Linked DNA regions of Lytechinus pictus. The protein of the gene in region 1 purifies or fractionates together with the protein of each later gene. This does not show direct contact. Links are inferred from orthologs where the notes say so. Each region holds a gene or a part of one and is shown on either strand. Other genes may lie near its edges.

Region 1 (7,483 bases):
AAGCTATAATTGCCAATTTGGGGTTTCAAACTTATAATATAAACAAATTTTGAATAATATAGTTATAAATTGGTTTTATGTGTATATTTGATTTATGATTGTAAAATAGAATCTATTTAGGCAAATGTAGATATCTACATGTACTTAGAGATACAATTCGTCGCCGATAAATTTAAAACATAGTAACATACAGAGAAAAAAAAATGCATCAACTGGCACCAAACTAGTTCAAATACTGTATTGCATTTCCATAAAAAATAGTCACACCACATATTTCTTGGTAATTCCAAAGCTAAGACAAGAAAAGAGGGATCTGTTGGGGACTTACATGTTATGAGCATCTCACTGCTGAATAAAGTCTTTAATGAACTAATTAATAGAAGCCATATTAGAAGCCCTATATATAGAAGCCCTATATGTAGTTTCAAGCACAATTGAAAGACCTACATGTAAGATCTGCTTTGTCATTTCTCTCTTCAAACTTGCCATACTGCCCGGGGGGGCCACTTACATTGACGAGTGGATACCATGCGCGACCAAAAAAACACGTAAAAAGGATGTCTTTTTCAAGATAGGGCACGTTACGTATGTAACGTGATAAGGGTGTCAAAAACACAAAAATATTGAAAAAAGGGTATCTATTTCGCTCGGAAAAATATACGTGTTTATCAGAGACTGATAATTTTGATTTTGGTATCCAATTTCAGAGACAGTCTCCAAGTTTTGGAGACCAATTTCCTTTATTTACATTTACAAAATCAAAATGTTTTATAAAGGATGTCCTTTTTGCCCCAACACTACGTGTTTAGAGTCCGATTTGCGCGAGATGTGGAAGGTGGGGTCGTACTAAACCAAAATAATGGTGTGTAAAGGTACAACCGACGACCAACGGACCCGTGACATAACAATAAAATATCGCTGTACTTGTTTAGGGGTTCATTTCAGGGAATACTTGCCAAGAGTATCGTTTTGTTTCCAATACTTGTTAAGGGGTGCATTTTCAGAATAGTGGAAAATACATCGCTGTACTTGTTTAGGAGCTCAATTTTGGGAATACTTGCCAATAGTATTTGTTTCCAATACTTGTTAAGGGTAGGGTTTCACACGCCAATACTTGTTAAGGGGTGCATTTTCAGAATATGGAAAATACGTGTTTAGGGTGCTTTTCAAGACCCCGTGGTCGCGCATGGTATCCACTCGTCAATGGAAGTGCCCCCCCCCCCCCCGGGCCGTACTGCAACTCTCAACCATTGCCTTAATGCTGAAATCACAATAGTTATTGTTATTTGTTAGTATTGTTTGTTATTTGATTACATGAGTCCTTTCTGAATGTATGAATATCTTCCTGCAAGTTACTACAGTACATGTATGTATAACTGACATGTAATGCACATTGCTTATTAGGAAAGGACACTCTGCATGCGCGATCATACAGCCAGGTATATTGCTCTTTATTATTAAGATTGATTAGTAAAAATTAATGATAAAGCTTGATTACATTTTAAAACCATTAATTAGTTACAACTTATCTAAACTATCGATCATTATTATGAATTATCAATGGAAGTTAACAATATAGTATTATGATTGGTAGGTGTAGTCCATTAGTGTGCTTCTCCTGATCATCCTCCCCCCCCCCCCCCCCCGCACATGTTGCTAATTAATCCCTAATTACGAATGGAAACAACATTACTTATAAAATCTTTTTTTGTATGACTATATTGCTCTCATAACAAGCTTTATTTTGACACCAAATACAACATCACATCTTGTATCAGCAGAGAAAATTAAAGGAATATACCCCAAAATTGTCCCGCAGATGTCACAACTCCACCTATTTACCAGCCCAATTCAAAACGCATTGCCATTTATAACCTAGGTACAGGGACATCTGAACAGCCCACATGGACAGCGATATTCTATTTTGGACATCCACATGGACATCTGACCTGCCTATATACATCGAAACCTGTAGTGACTGTAGGGACCATCAAAGGGAAACATAAACATGGCTTTATAGACACATGGCTGATATTGACAGTAGGGTTGCAAAATTCCTGGGAATTTTCATGGTAGATACTTTCCATGGGAATAAACAGGATTTTTGTGGGAATTTGGGGAATTTTCGGCAATTTTCAGGAATTTTTCAAAACACATTGTTACATTAACATTGTATATTAACAATGTTATATATTAACAGGCTATTATAAACTGGTAAATGGAAGCTTGGTTCTGACAAGTCCAAGCCTTGACATTTGCAGTAAAATGGAAAATAGTGTAATGCGATGTTTTATTTTTTCATGTTGAATTGATAAAGCTTCATTTTGCACATCATGCCCCATCATGTTACACTCACAGTAATGTACATTTATGTATAATACATGTATACACTTTGATGAATACCCTAGGCAAGTCAAAGAATAAAGAACTGTTTTATAAAAATTAAAAGTATGATATTTTAAGATATCAATTTATAAGTTTGTATTTATTTTTAAAAACACCATTGATAAGTTTTTGTGAAAAAATGAAAATTCCAGAAAATTCCCATATTCCCGGCAGCTGAAAATTCCCCAAACTTTCCAAAAATTTCCGGAAAGTTTCCAAGTCCTTTGCAACCATAATTGACAGGTTTTTTATACACATAATCTGCCTCCACAAGAACCAGATCTAGTGGTCACTACAGGCAGGTGGCTGCTATACATGTAGACACAGATTTAACTGTACAAATGGCCGATTCCAACAAGTGGACATTCGACCAGTGCCAGTAACACAAAGCTTAACGATTGATCATAGAATAAAATAAAAGCTTACAATACAATTGACTGCATTGACCACAATGTACAATCAATCATAAAAATATCAAAGCTCCTAATCAATCGCTACACTTTTGTGTTTAAGGGGCCATGAAGTATTTCTTTGACAAGCAGAGATCTCACCTCAATATTCCAGTCATGCTGATCCAAAATGTTGCGACATCTCACCATATCCTCAATCCCAGTAAGATCCTGCAGCCAAAAGAACGAACCATACAATATTATAATAAAAATAATAACATCGACTTGCAATGCATGTGATACATAGACTAAGTTTTCTGTTTAAAAAAAATTCTTTTTGGGGTAAAGTCCATGATTGCAACCAAGTGATTGGTCTGCTACGAAACCTGTTACTCATTTACTCATTTTTATAACTAATTCTTTAATCCTGTATATGCCTTAGGAGTACTATAAAGGTGAAAAAACAGGATTAATCCCCCATTTTTTAATCCAAATTCCAAAATGAATGTGGTTAATGTGGATTTTCTAGGGAAATTCATCATTGTTTACCACATTCGACACACAGGTCCATACTGTAGACCCCGTGTCAAGGCTCCATGATGACATGACGAAGACAGAGAATCTTATGATAAAATATCATCATAGATTTCTAGAGGCTAGGGGTGCATATGGTCTTATGGGACTCTTGCCAGAAGGAGGACTGCGAATAATGAGAAAATGTTAGAACACACAAAAAAACCAGAACAGCCGATTTTCCAGTCTTGATTCTAGTCTACGTTCTAAAGACTAAAATAAGTTTAGCACTAGCAAAAGCATAGCACTGCACTTTAGTTTAGCAGCAAATGTATACAAAGGAAATTAATTGGTCTCCAAAACTTGGAGACTGTCTCTGAAATTGGATACCAAAATCAAAATTATCAGTCTCTGATATAATTGGAGATAATCTCCAACATGGAAGACACTCGTCCAGATTGGCTTTGCACCAGACCTAGGCCCTAGCCTAGGGAATCAAGGTGCCGTTTGATAATTTGTTTTGATGATTTCGAAATGGTAAAATCAAAAACAAAATTTTGAGTGAAAACTTATGCTATTTTTTAGATTTAAAAAAGAACAAGTGGAGCGCCTCTGGCAGTCTCACCTGCATCACGCGATTCAATACAGCAGCAGTGCTGACTTTGAAAACTAATATAAAATAATTATTCACAAAAAACACCATTCATATGATACAATACTACGTTCATTGTCAATAAATGATATTTGACCATGATCATGCTACCTAAGACTTGTCAGTAATACTTAATTACCCCTATATCCACATTTTATTTAAACTATATCTATAAACTTTGAAAGTTATGACAGCAATCTAATAATTACATCCAAATGGCCAAAGTTCAATGACCTTAAATGACCTTTGCCTTTGGTCATGTGACCTGAAACTTGCATGAGATGTTCAGTGATACTTGATTCCTCTAATGTCCAAATTTTATGAAATAGACCAATACACTTACAGAGTTATGATGGTAATTCAACGAATACCCCCAAATTGGCCAAAGTTCATTGACCTTAAATGACCTTTGACCTTGATCATGTGCCCTAAAACTCACACAGGAAGTTCAGTGATACTTGTTTACTCTTATGTCCAAGTTTCATGAATCAGATCCATAAACTTTTAAAGTTATGATGGTAATTCAACAAATTCCCCCAACTTAGCCAAAGTTCATTGACCCTAAATGACCTTTGACCTTGGTCATGTGACTTGAAACTCTGGCAGGATGTTCAGTAATACTTGATTAACCTTATGTCTAAGTTTCATGAACTAGGTCTATATATTTTCTAAGTTATGATGACATTTCAAAAACTTAACCTTAGGTTAAGATTTCGATGTTGACTCCCCCAACATGGTCAAAGTTCATTGACCCTAAATGACCTTTGACCTTGATCATGTTACCTGAAACTCAGGCAGGGTGTTCAGTAATACTTGATTAACCTTATGGCCAAGTTTAATGAACTAGGTCCATATACTTTCTAAGTTATGCTGTCATTTCAAAAACTTAACCTTCGGTTAAGATTTGGTGCTGACGGCGCCGTCGGAAAAGCGGCGCCTATAGTCTCACTCTGCTATGCAGGTGAGACAAAAACGGTTGTTAATCAATAATTTCCTTTCAGGAATGTAAGAATGTTAAAATTTGTCCATTGATCTGTTTTTCATATTTTAAATTTTAGTTTTTCCTTTGACAAAATAGAAGCATTGAAATTCTTGTTTACTTTTTCTGTCTTTTCGTTTTATTTTTCATGAACAGAGAACTGATCTCATCTTCTTGTTTCCTTTTTCTGTTTCGAAATCAGAAGAAAAAAATTATTTGATCATACTGCTGTCGTCGTACAATCAGATAATTAATTTGCTTTGACAAAACATGATAATGAAACCAAATGCGCGTGCGCTGACATTGCATAGGGCAGCTACACGGATAATCACAGCTGACCAAAAAGCAGAAATAAGAGAAAAGGAAGAACAGGAAGAAGAGGAAAAAGAAGAAGAACAAAGAAAAAGAACAAAGAAAACAAAGAAGCAGAAGGAAGAAGAAAAAGAAGAACAAAGTAGAAAAAGAAGAACTAAAGAGAAGAAAGAGAAGAACACAAATGTGAGCAGAAAAATGAAAAGGAACAATAAGGAAAGGGGGAGGGTCGACAAGCAATCAAATCAGTTGACAAATAAAAAAGAGGGTTCTACCTCTGGCACAAGGACGGTTCAGTTGTGTGTGTGTGTGTGGGGGGGGGGGGGCTATCAAAAATTCTACTCCCGCTCAGAACTCACAATGTTTGACTGTTAGCTGATAGAGAGATGCAGTGAGTGTATATTGCTGATCAACCCCGCCCCCAACCGTCCTTGTTGTGCAAGAGGTAGTGCACTCCAGTCAGTAGGCAGGTCCCCAAAAGTGGCTTCTTTCATCCAAGTGATATTCAGGACTACAGAGGTTTTGCATATTTAATGAGCTTGATGCGGACCAAAACACCTCTTTTAATTTGGTAATTGCTGCTCTAAATATACATTAAAGTTTATGATTTTGGGATCATTGCAAAGAAGAAGAATCATTCTTTTGAGTCATGTGTTTGAATTTATTCAAAGATTTTGTAATGTAGGTGAAACTTTTGATCTAAAATATGCTAAAATCATTATTTTCGCCTGACAAAATTTATATTTACACTTTATTTTTGTTTAAGCCCAAATGATTTCTAGATCATGATAAAGCTGAATATCTATGCTTTTAAATGGTATAGGTTTCAAAACAAGAATAGGTTTAATCGGGTCAAGATCACACTTTTCATTGGCAAAGTTCATTTAAGCAGCTTGAAAACAAGAATACTGCACTCTGATTGGTCAAAGAGACCACACACTCAACAGTTCCAGTGCTGGGTTCACGGCAAGGTCACACTTCCCATGTGGTAATCAAATCAAATCACTCGCGTTTTTTGTTTTGAAGCCTTATCCAGCCAATCAGAACACTAGATTTCATGCTACTCCAAAATTTTAGAAATCTCTTCTTGTACTTTGGTGGGAAAAGTATGATCTTGACCCGATTAAAAGGTGCCGCATATTAAGAGTGACATTCCGAGAAAGTACAGAAATTCAGCTATAGGTGATATAGATATCTTCAAGGCTCAAAATAGAAAGTTTTCACACTTTGCAAAAGAAAACAGAGGAAGAAAAATTCAGTTTTGATGCACAATTTTCAGGCCTGACATTCACTTTAATATTTATCAAAATATTTTATACAAAATAAATGACCAATGGTATGAAAGAGAAACAGATTTATTCTGTCCAATTGTGCAAAGTTATTTAATTTGACTTGAGGATAAAGTAGGTAAATTTTTAGAGAAAGAAAATCTAATGATTCACAAGATTTTGCTGGGAATCAGCCTCGAAAGAATTTGGATGAATCTGGCCTATTTGCTCATTAGTATAGGCATACATGTAGGGACCTCTTTGTTTACTTGTCAATACCTCCCTTTCCTTATTGTTCCTTCTCATTTTTCAGCTCACATTCATGTTCTTCTTCTTCATCATTCTTCTTCTTTTTCTTCTTTCTTCTTTTTTTTTTCTTCTTCATGTTCTCCATTTTCTCTTCTTATTTCTGCTTTTTTGTCGGCAGTGATAATTCATAGCTGCCCTAAGCAATGTTGGCATACAGGCACACGGTTTCATTATTCTGTTTTGTCAATGCAAAACTAATTATCTAATAATCGTACCATGATATGGCAGCGTTACGATCAGATAATTCCTTTCTCTGATTTCAAAATAGACAAAGGAAACAAGAAGATGCTTCGATTGTCTGTTTTGTGAAAGCAAAAAAAAAAACCAGCAAAAAGAAAAAAGAAAGAATTTTAATTCAATTTTCTGTTTAGTCAAAGCAAATAAATAAGTTAGGCTTACCGGTACATTCAGAAAAAAATGAAATATGACAAAACAGTAAAACGGAAAAACAAACCATTTTTAACTATCTACATGTATGTTAGTCATTAGATCTAACAATAACAAGTAACATATCTAACTCAGTTAAAATGCTAGTATCTATTCTAGACTCACTTTTACTGGCAAACACACATTTCATTTCTGAAACTTTGAAAGTGAAACAAATTATTGAATAACGACCGTTCTACTATTTAAATCTCAGTTTCCACTAAATAGTTTATCACTTCTTTTTTTTTTA
Region 2 (7,237 bases), on another chromosome or scaffold:
AGATCAACCAAATTGATCTTTATTAATTATTTAATCGATCTAGGGGTGAACTTTGGTGGACAGAAAAGGAGAACGGGGTCTAAGATGCCCCGAAACATTGGGCGTGCATCGACATACGTTATAATCCGATTAGTTAACTTCGTATGGGCTCGTAATAAATTCGCCAAAAATCAAAATCAGCCCATATCTCTTGTGACTCCATAATTTATGATATATCTTTATCCATTCATTTGGCGATTTAAGGTTGAAAAATAATGCACCAAAAAGGGAGACGGTGTGTAGGAAGCCCGTAAACTGAAGGCAGTGTATATTGACATATCCGATTAGTTTAATTTCTGTAGGCCTGGAATCGTATTCAATTCGCCAAAAATCGAAATAAACTTTATATCTCTTTTAAACTCAACAAACTTGAACTTTATTAATCTCTGCATCTTATATAGGGGTGAACAGTGATTTATAGAAAAGAGGGATGGGTTTAAAGGTCAAGTCCACCTCAATAAAATGTTGATTTGAATCAAAAGAGAAAAATCAGACAAGCATAATGCTGAAAATTTTCATCTAAACCGGATGTAAAATGAGAAAGTTATGACATTTTAAATTTTCGCTTATTTTATACAAAATAGTACAAATTAGTCACATGCTAATGAGAGAATCGATGATGTCCCTCACTCACTATTTCTTTTGTTTTTTGTTTTTGTTTGAATTATGCAATATTTCAATTTTTACAGATTTGACAATAATAAGGACCAACTCGACTGAAACATATAATGTTAAACAGTGGTAATTCCACATGTTCAGTGAGAAATGAAACTTTGTTTCACAGGACAATGAGGAGAAAATTAGATTATTTCATATTTCTTATAATTAAATACAAAAGAAAAAGTGAGTGATGTCATCAGTTCTCTCAATTGCACACCGACCGGGATGTGCATATAACTATTATGTGAAAATAAGCAAAACTTTAAAATTTCATAGCTTTCTTCTTTTACATCCGATTTTGATCAAAATTTCAGTGTTATATGTTCAATAGGATTTTCCTGTTTTCAAATCAACTTTTTATTGGGGTGGACTAATTGTCCTTTAAGATACCCCGAAAGTGAGGTCAAATAAGTGGGGCGTACTTTGCTTCGCCGGATTTTATTTTCAAGTTTTTAGACACATTCAACTCTTTTTTAAGATGCTTTATTCTTGGCGATAAAACTGGTGATTTGCAGTTTATATTTCAACATTGCTTCAAGTGGCCATGTGGCAGATCCAGGATTTTGTCACATCTTCCTGAAAATTCAACAGCGAAAAAACAGGTCCTTACCATTTAAACATTATATACTCTGTCTTTTAAGGTGAGTGCACAAGTTTTCATTATACTTCTCAAAAATGGAACCGGCCGGATGTTCTCGATCCCCCTTTTAAGATCCATCAGTGATATCAACAAACATGGAGACACAGACAATATTTACGTAATCATGAATAATTGTATAGACTTACATGTAGAAATGCACACAAAATACAACGTTCGGATTAATTCGAATTATATTCAGGTTTTTGTAAAAAAAAATACTTAAATAAGATGTAAAATCAACCAAGAAAACTTAATATGTTTGAATATATATGATTGGAAGAGTTATGGCAAGATAAAAGATGCAGGATGCATGATGAAGTAAAATATAATCTATTTTAGACATTTGAGAGAGAGAAGGAAAGCGAGGAACAAAAGATAAAAAGGGGAGAGAGGGAAGAGATAGAGAATGAGGATAGAAGATATCCACTATCATATAGCATTTATTTCCAAGCGAGACATATGAAATTGGTATAACATGAATGAAAATAACTGTACATGTATATTATATAAAAGTACGGTAAAGATAGATAGATGAACGGTATTTACCATGATAACGTTCAATTCGCAGCCAATTAAAGCTGAATAAGATAGATTTGCACATGCGGAGTAAAATGGCAGTATAAAAACAAATAGTAAAACAATATCAACAAAAACAACGTATATCAATGCATAATATAAGGAAAGGGATGCAAAGATAAATGCATACAAAGGAAGAAAGAATTAAGGGAATTAGAGATCAAGCACTGACTGTGAAGAATTACATTTTATACGGAAAGTTTCCTTCGTTTCACTCCTAATTATTTGTTATTTCGTGTTAAGAAAGGTACCATTTCATACAATCCGCTCTTAACATAGTGAAAAATAACACGGATATGTTATTCTTTCAGTATTGCCCAAAATCATATATAATCATGTTAAAAATATTACTTGTGTTAAAATGCTTTAACTTGAGGCTACTCATATTCCAACAATTCCACTTTGGTTAAATTCGCCGCTAATCGAAATCACCTTTTTATGTCTTGAAAATCAACCAAATTGATCTTAATTAATCATTTCATCGATTTAAGGGGAACAGTGGTGCATAGAAAAGGGGGACGGGGTCTACGATGGCCCGAAAGGTGGGGGTGCATTAATATTGACGAAAATACGGCGCCTGCTATTATGGCGTGCTATATGTCCGTGTATATTCCAACAATTCCACTTTGGTCTGGTAATAAATTCGCCGCTAATCGAAATCACCATTTTATGTCTTAAAAATCACCCAAATTGATCTTTATTAATCACTTCATCGATTTAGGGGTGAACATTGGTGCACAGAAAAGAGAGACGGGGTCTACGATTCCCCGAAAGGTAGGGGGTGCATGGACGAAAATATAGCGCGTGCTATGTATTATATCCGTGTATCCCAACAATTCCACTTTAGTCTGGTAATAAATTCGCCGCTAATCGAAATCACCTTTTTATGTCTTGATAATCAACCAAATTGATTTTTATTAATCACATCATCGATCTAGGGGTGAACATTGGTGCACAGAAAAGGGGGACGGTGTCTACGATGCCCCGAAAGGAGGGGGTGCATTGACGAAAATACGGCGTCTGCTATTATGGCGTGCTATATTATGTACGTGTATTCCAACAATTCCACTTTGGTCTGGTAATAAATTCGCCGCTAATCAAAATCACCTTTTTATGTCTTGATTTGACGAAGTACGCCCTCTAGCGTTATTAGTATACATCTCTATGGCTGGCTTGCTTCAATCAACGAATTGTTAATTAACTAGGGCCCATTTCTCAACACATGGACAAGTTAGTCATATCTTTATCCACCAACCACGGAGTTAGTTCCAATCTTACTAAACATGTTTCTCGAAAGGTTTCCTAACTAGAATACCTTGATATCGATACTATCGGTAGAACGAGCAGACGAGACGTAGCCTTAGTCACAAAATAGCATAATATTAAAAAAGAAAAATTATTACAAAATTGCAAATATTGTGATAAATTGGGAAATAAATCTTTTCAAAATAATAGCACAGGTGAATTATGCATCATACATACTTAGACCATGAAGACTTGAGCATTCAATTGCAGAGAAAATTAAATTATGAATAATTCATTTCATGACTAAAAAATCACTTGTGGACGTTGAGATTGGGTACCCCCGGGATATCCAATTTTAATAGTTTACGAAAGTAAACCATAACGGTTTTCTTTGTAAAATGATGATAATTATGCGGTCTTTTACGATTCCGAACGTCATCAAAATATAGTTTAACGAAACATTTTTAACCATTGATACCGAAACATACGATATTTGACAAATTATATGCATAAATTAGAGATTAGAATTTATCCAACTGTTAATAGGGGTCTGAAAACAACAAATACGAGTTCAGTTATGGATGGCCTGACGTGGTAGAATATTTATCGATTAAATCATTTTACTATTTCAAAATGAATGGTTTTGTGGCGTTTTACCAATAGTTTTTATAGTTTCTTTGTATTACAATTATCATTGAATGCATTAACCCACTTGTTTTGTGATGTAATTTCAACCTCTATGATTGATTACGTAAGATTATAATTTTAAAATTTATATGCGCTTTTGCATGTCATAGTCTACCCACGTGATGCCACTACGTCATTAAGAAAGAAGTTATGACAGGTTCGGAGGTGTCATAAATATTTAGTGAGGTTGTTGTACCCGATCTTGGTAAAGAGGGCTTCGTGAAACGGTTAGCGGACAAGTAGCTCACTATCTCCGATTTAGTCAAGAAGTTAGACTTATGACGGTGTTGAGAAACGGGCCCCAGTGTCTGTACTGTAGCTGTGCGCAGCTGGGTTTGTGCGCTGGCGCTGGCTTCAGCTAGCCTGGCATGCGTGAAACACGGATCTTGAAGTTCGGATTGTAAATCAACCCAGGAATCCAACTGAGATTTTTTAGCTTGTCTAAATCGATTTAAAGATGTCACAGCCATACAGTTCATCAGGGTTTTGTGAGTGTAAATCTTCTTCTTGAAATATTTATATTTTGAATGTTCACGACTATTTCCCGCAAAATAAGCGCAATTATGTCACCGTTGCTTTTCATGAAAATGAAAAATCACAGTCCCATACATTGAATACCTTGTATTATGATTTATGTTAGACCAAAAGCTTCGGTCTCTGTTATTGTTAATATGTTGGTTGTTCAGCTGAACTCCGTTGGCTTCACTCACCAAATACAGAGACCGAAGTTCTAGCGCGATCTGTACAGGGGACTCAATGGCCATATGTTTATGTACTTAAGATTGGATAAAACGGGGAAGTGAATTTACGCGACAGCTGAGGTAAGTCTGTTTTTGTTCCTTTTAACTTGATTTTTCTCAGTTTTTTGGCAATTAATGCCAAGAGGGAATATTAATTTGCATTTTGGTCGCGTTAATTTTCAAAAACTTTATTCATATTTAAAGACAAGAATTGAAGAGCCCAGACGGGGGGATTTTGCATTGCAAGTCCCCTAATGGTGGCTGCACGCTAGCTAACCTAGCCAGGCGGCTTCTAGAGAGTAAAAATCATTTACTAACGTAAGGTCACTCTCATGAAGCCAGGGCTTCCGTCATATACTTTTGTGTGTACCACCAAAAAACCTGAAACTTTCGCCCCCGAGATTTCTACTTTCTTTCTAAAAGATCTAGCCCTAAATCATGTACATGGGATAAAACTTCATTTCCGACATTTCTACGCTCTCGTTTTTATTTTTGAACAAGAATTCATCAAAAAAATGAGAGAAATATTGTGTAAAGACGGAAGAGACTTGCCCAATGTTTACGCCGCCATCTTGTTTCCTATTGTTCTTCGCCAACGTTACAGACGCGTGACACAATATTTCTCTCATTTTTTTGATGAATTCTTGTTCAAAAATAACAACGAGAGCGTAGAAATGTCGGAAATGAAGTTTTATCCCATGTACATGATTTAGGGCTAGATCTTTTAGAAATAAAAGTAGAAATCTCGGGGGCGAAAGTTTCAGGTTTTTTGGTGGTACACACAAAAGTATATGACGGAAGCCCTGGCTTCATGAGAGTGACCTTACGTTAGTAAATGATTTTTACTCTCTAGAAGCCGCCTGGCTAAGCTAACCCAGAGAGCTCCCGCCCGCGCAGCGGGCGGGAGCCCAGAAGCTTACCGTGTATTTTACCATTGTCACCGGACTAGGGTGATTTACGGTCTAAATATTTCTCCAAATGAATTGTGAAAACAGAAAGTATACAATTACCACGATTATATGGATGAAGGTCTAACGAGTGGCAGATTCCTGACATCTGGGCACAGTCTGGAACCTAAAAAAAACGAAAAGTTCTCTCCTTCTACCCCGTCTCGATCGGCCATTTTTGTTAAAAATCGTAACAAAATGGCCGAGTTTTTTGGTGGTACACACAAAAGTATATGACGGAAGCCCTGGCTTCATGAGAGTGACCTTACGTTAGTAAATGATTTTTACTCTCTAGAAGCCGCCTGGCTAAGCTAACCCAGAGAGCCGGTAAGCTTCTAAGCTTCTGAGCCGGTAAGCTTCTGAGCCGGTAAGCTTCTAGGCCGGTAAGCTTCTGGGCTCCCGCCCGCTGCGCGGGCGGGAGCTCTCTGGGTTACACGCTAGCGAGCCGTCTGTGTATGAGGAGAAATAAAAAAAATAAAAAAATGTTAAAAAACTCCTCGAAACAGACGGCTGCCAGCTGTCTAGATTTATGTAGGCCCTAGTCATGCTAGTACGGTAAATTCCTCACACCCACTCTAGACTAGGCACCATGCCTATCAATTCCTGTGTTAAAATAGTGAGTGCACGCGAATCAGAAGTTGGACTTAAATTACTAGATATTACCATGGAGCTCTATGACGAAATCTATTTTTAAATTAGACCCTAGATACTACTTATGGAAAATAATGTATAAATAGTACTCGCCTGGTCTTTTCTTCACTCTAAGCACCAAGGCTATTAATTCCTGTGTTAAAAAAATGAGTGCACGCGAATTAAATGTTGGACTTAAATTACTAGATCTTACCATGGAGCTCCATGACGAAATCTATTCTTAAATTAGACTCTAGATATTACTAAATTGAAAAAAATGTATAAATAGTACTCGCCTGGTCTTTTCTTGGGGTATTGAAGCCTTTTTGTCCAGAACTTGCTCAACTTTTGCGGCAAATTTTGTCGCCATAGGGTTGTGCACATTCTGGTTTAATACTGGTTGTCACGTGACACGGCAATGTCGTTAGGCTGTTTGGCCTGTATTCAAGGCGTTCTATCCGTTATGATTTTATATTGAATGAAGCAATTTCCATCAGGTATAGGCCCCTATCAAGTCAAAATAAATTAAGAGGCTTTTATAGGAGGAAATTATAATTTGTTAACAAATTTTCGGCATTACTCCTATTTCAAGGCTCCACATTAACTTTTTTTGGTGGTGGCCCGTTCGGGCCACCAAAACCATCAAATAATTTTTTTTGGTGGCCCGATATTAAAGTTTGGTGGCCCGAAAAATATAAAGAAAAACATTAAAAATGAATAAAACAAACTTCTGAAATATTAATTCTGCAGCCACTACCACTAAGTTACTTTCACTTTATACATCTTGTATGTAAACCTTGCTTGCTGTTATTTTACTTTGCTAGTTGATAATTGTTTCTATCGTTGTAAAAATGAAATGATTGAAAGTGAATAAATGAATTGTATTGTTCGCAGGTTGTGTGGACTTTTTTTAAATCTCTGTGTAGAGATAATGGTAAAGTAAATAAATAGTGCATAGCAAACTCAGATAGCTGTACAAAACAATGGTTTTTCCTTTCTTCCTCTTTGAATCCTAAAACCTAGATTATGCATGCCCCAAATCCAGTTTATTTCTGTTTTCTCTTTTGCAATTT

Evidence for each region. The genes of interacting proteins can lie anywhere in the genome.
Region 2: the proteins of FAS-associated factor 2-like (region 1) and ubiquitin-associated domain-containing protein 2-like purify together in Homo sapiens (affinity purification with western blotting; 7 studies listed by BioGRID and IntAct, with this or other methods). This does not show direct contact. The link is inferred for Lytechinus pictus from reciprocal best matches to the Homo sapiens genes FAF2 and UBAC2.

Annotation. Positions count from the first base shown.
Region 1 is NC_087245.1:41,343,665-41,351,147, forward strand, and holds the start of FAS-associated factor 2-like, read right to left. Parts: upstream 3,008-7,483; 5' UTR 2,985-3,007; coding exon 2,937-2,984; intron 1-2,936. UniProt on the Homo sapiens protein: Plays an important role in endoplasmic reticulum-associated degradation (ERAD) that mediates ubiquitin-dependent degradation of misfolded endoplasmic reticulum proteins.
Region 2 is NC_087260.1:29,144,929-29,152,165, forward strand, and holds the start of ubiquitin-associated domain-containing protein 2-like, read left to right. Parts: upstream 1-4,215; 5' UTR 4,216-4,304; coding exon 4,305-4,341; intron 4,342-7,237. UniProt on the Homo sapiens protein: Restricts trafficking of FAF2 from the endoplasmic reticulum to lipid droplets.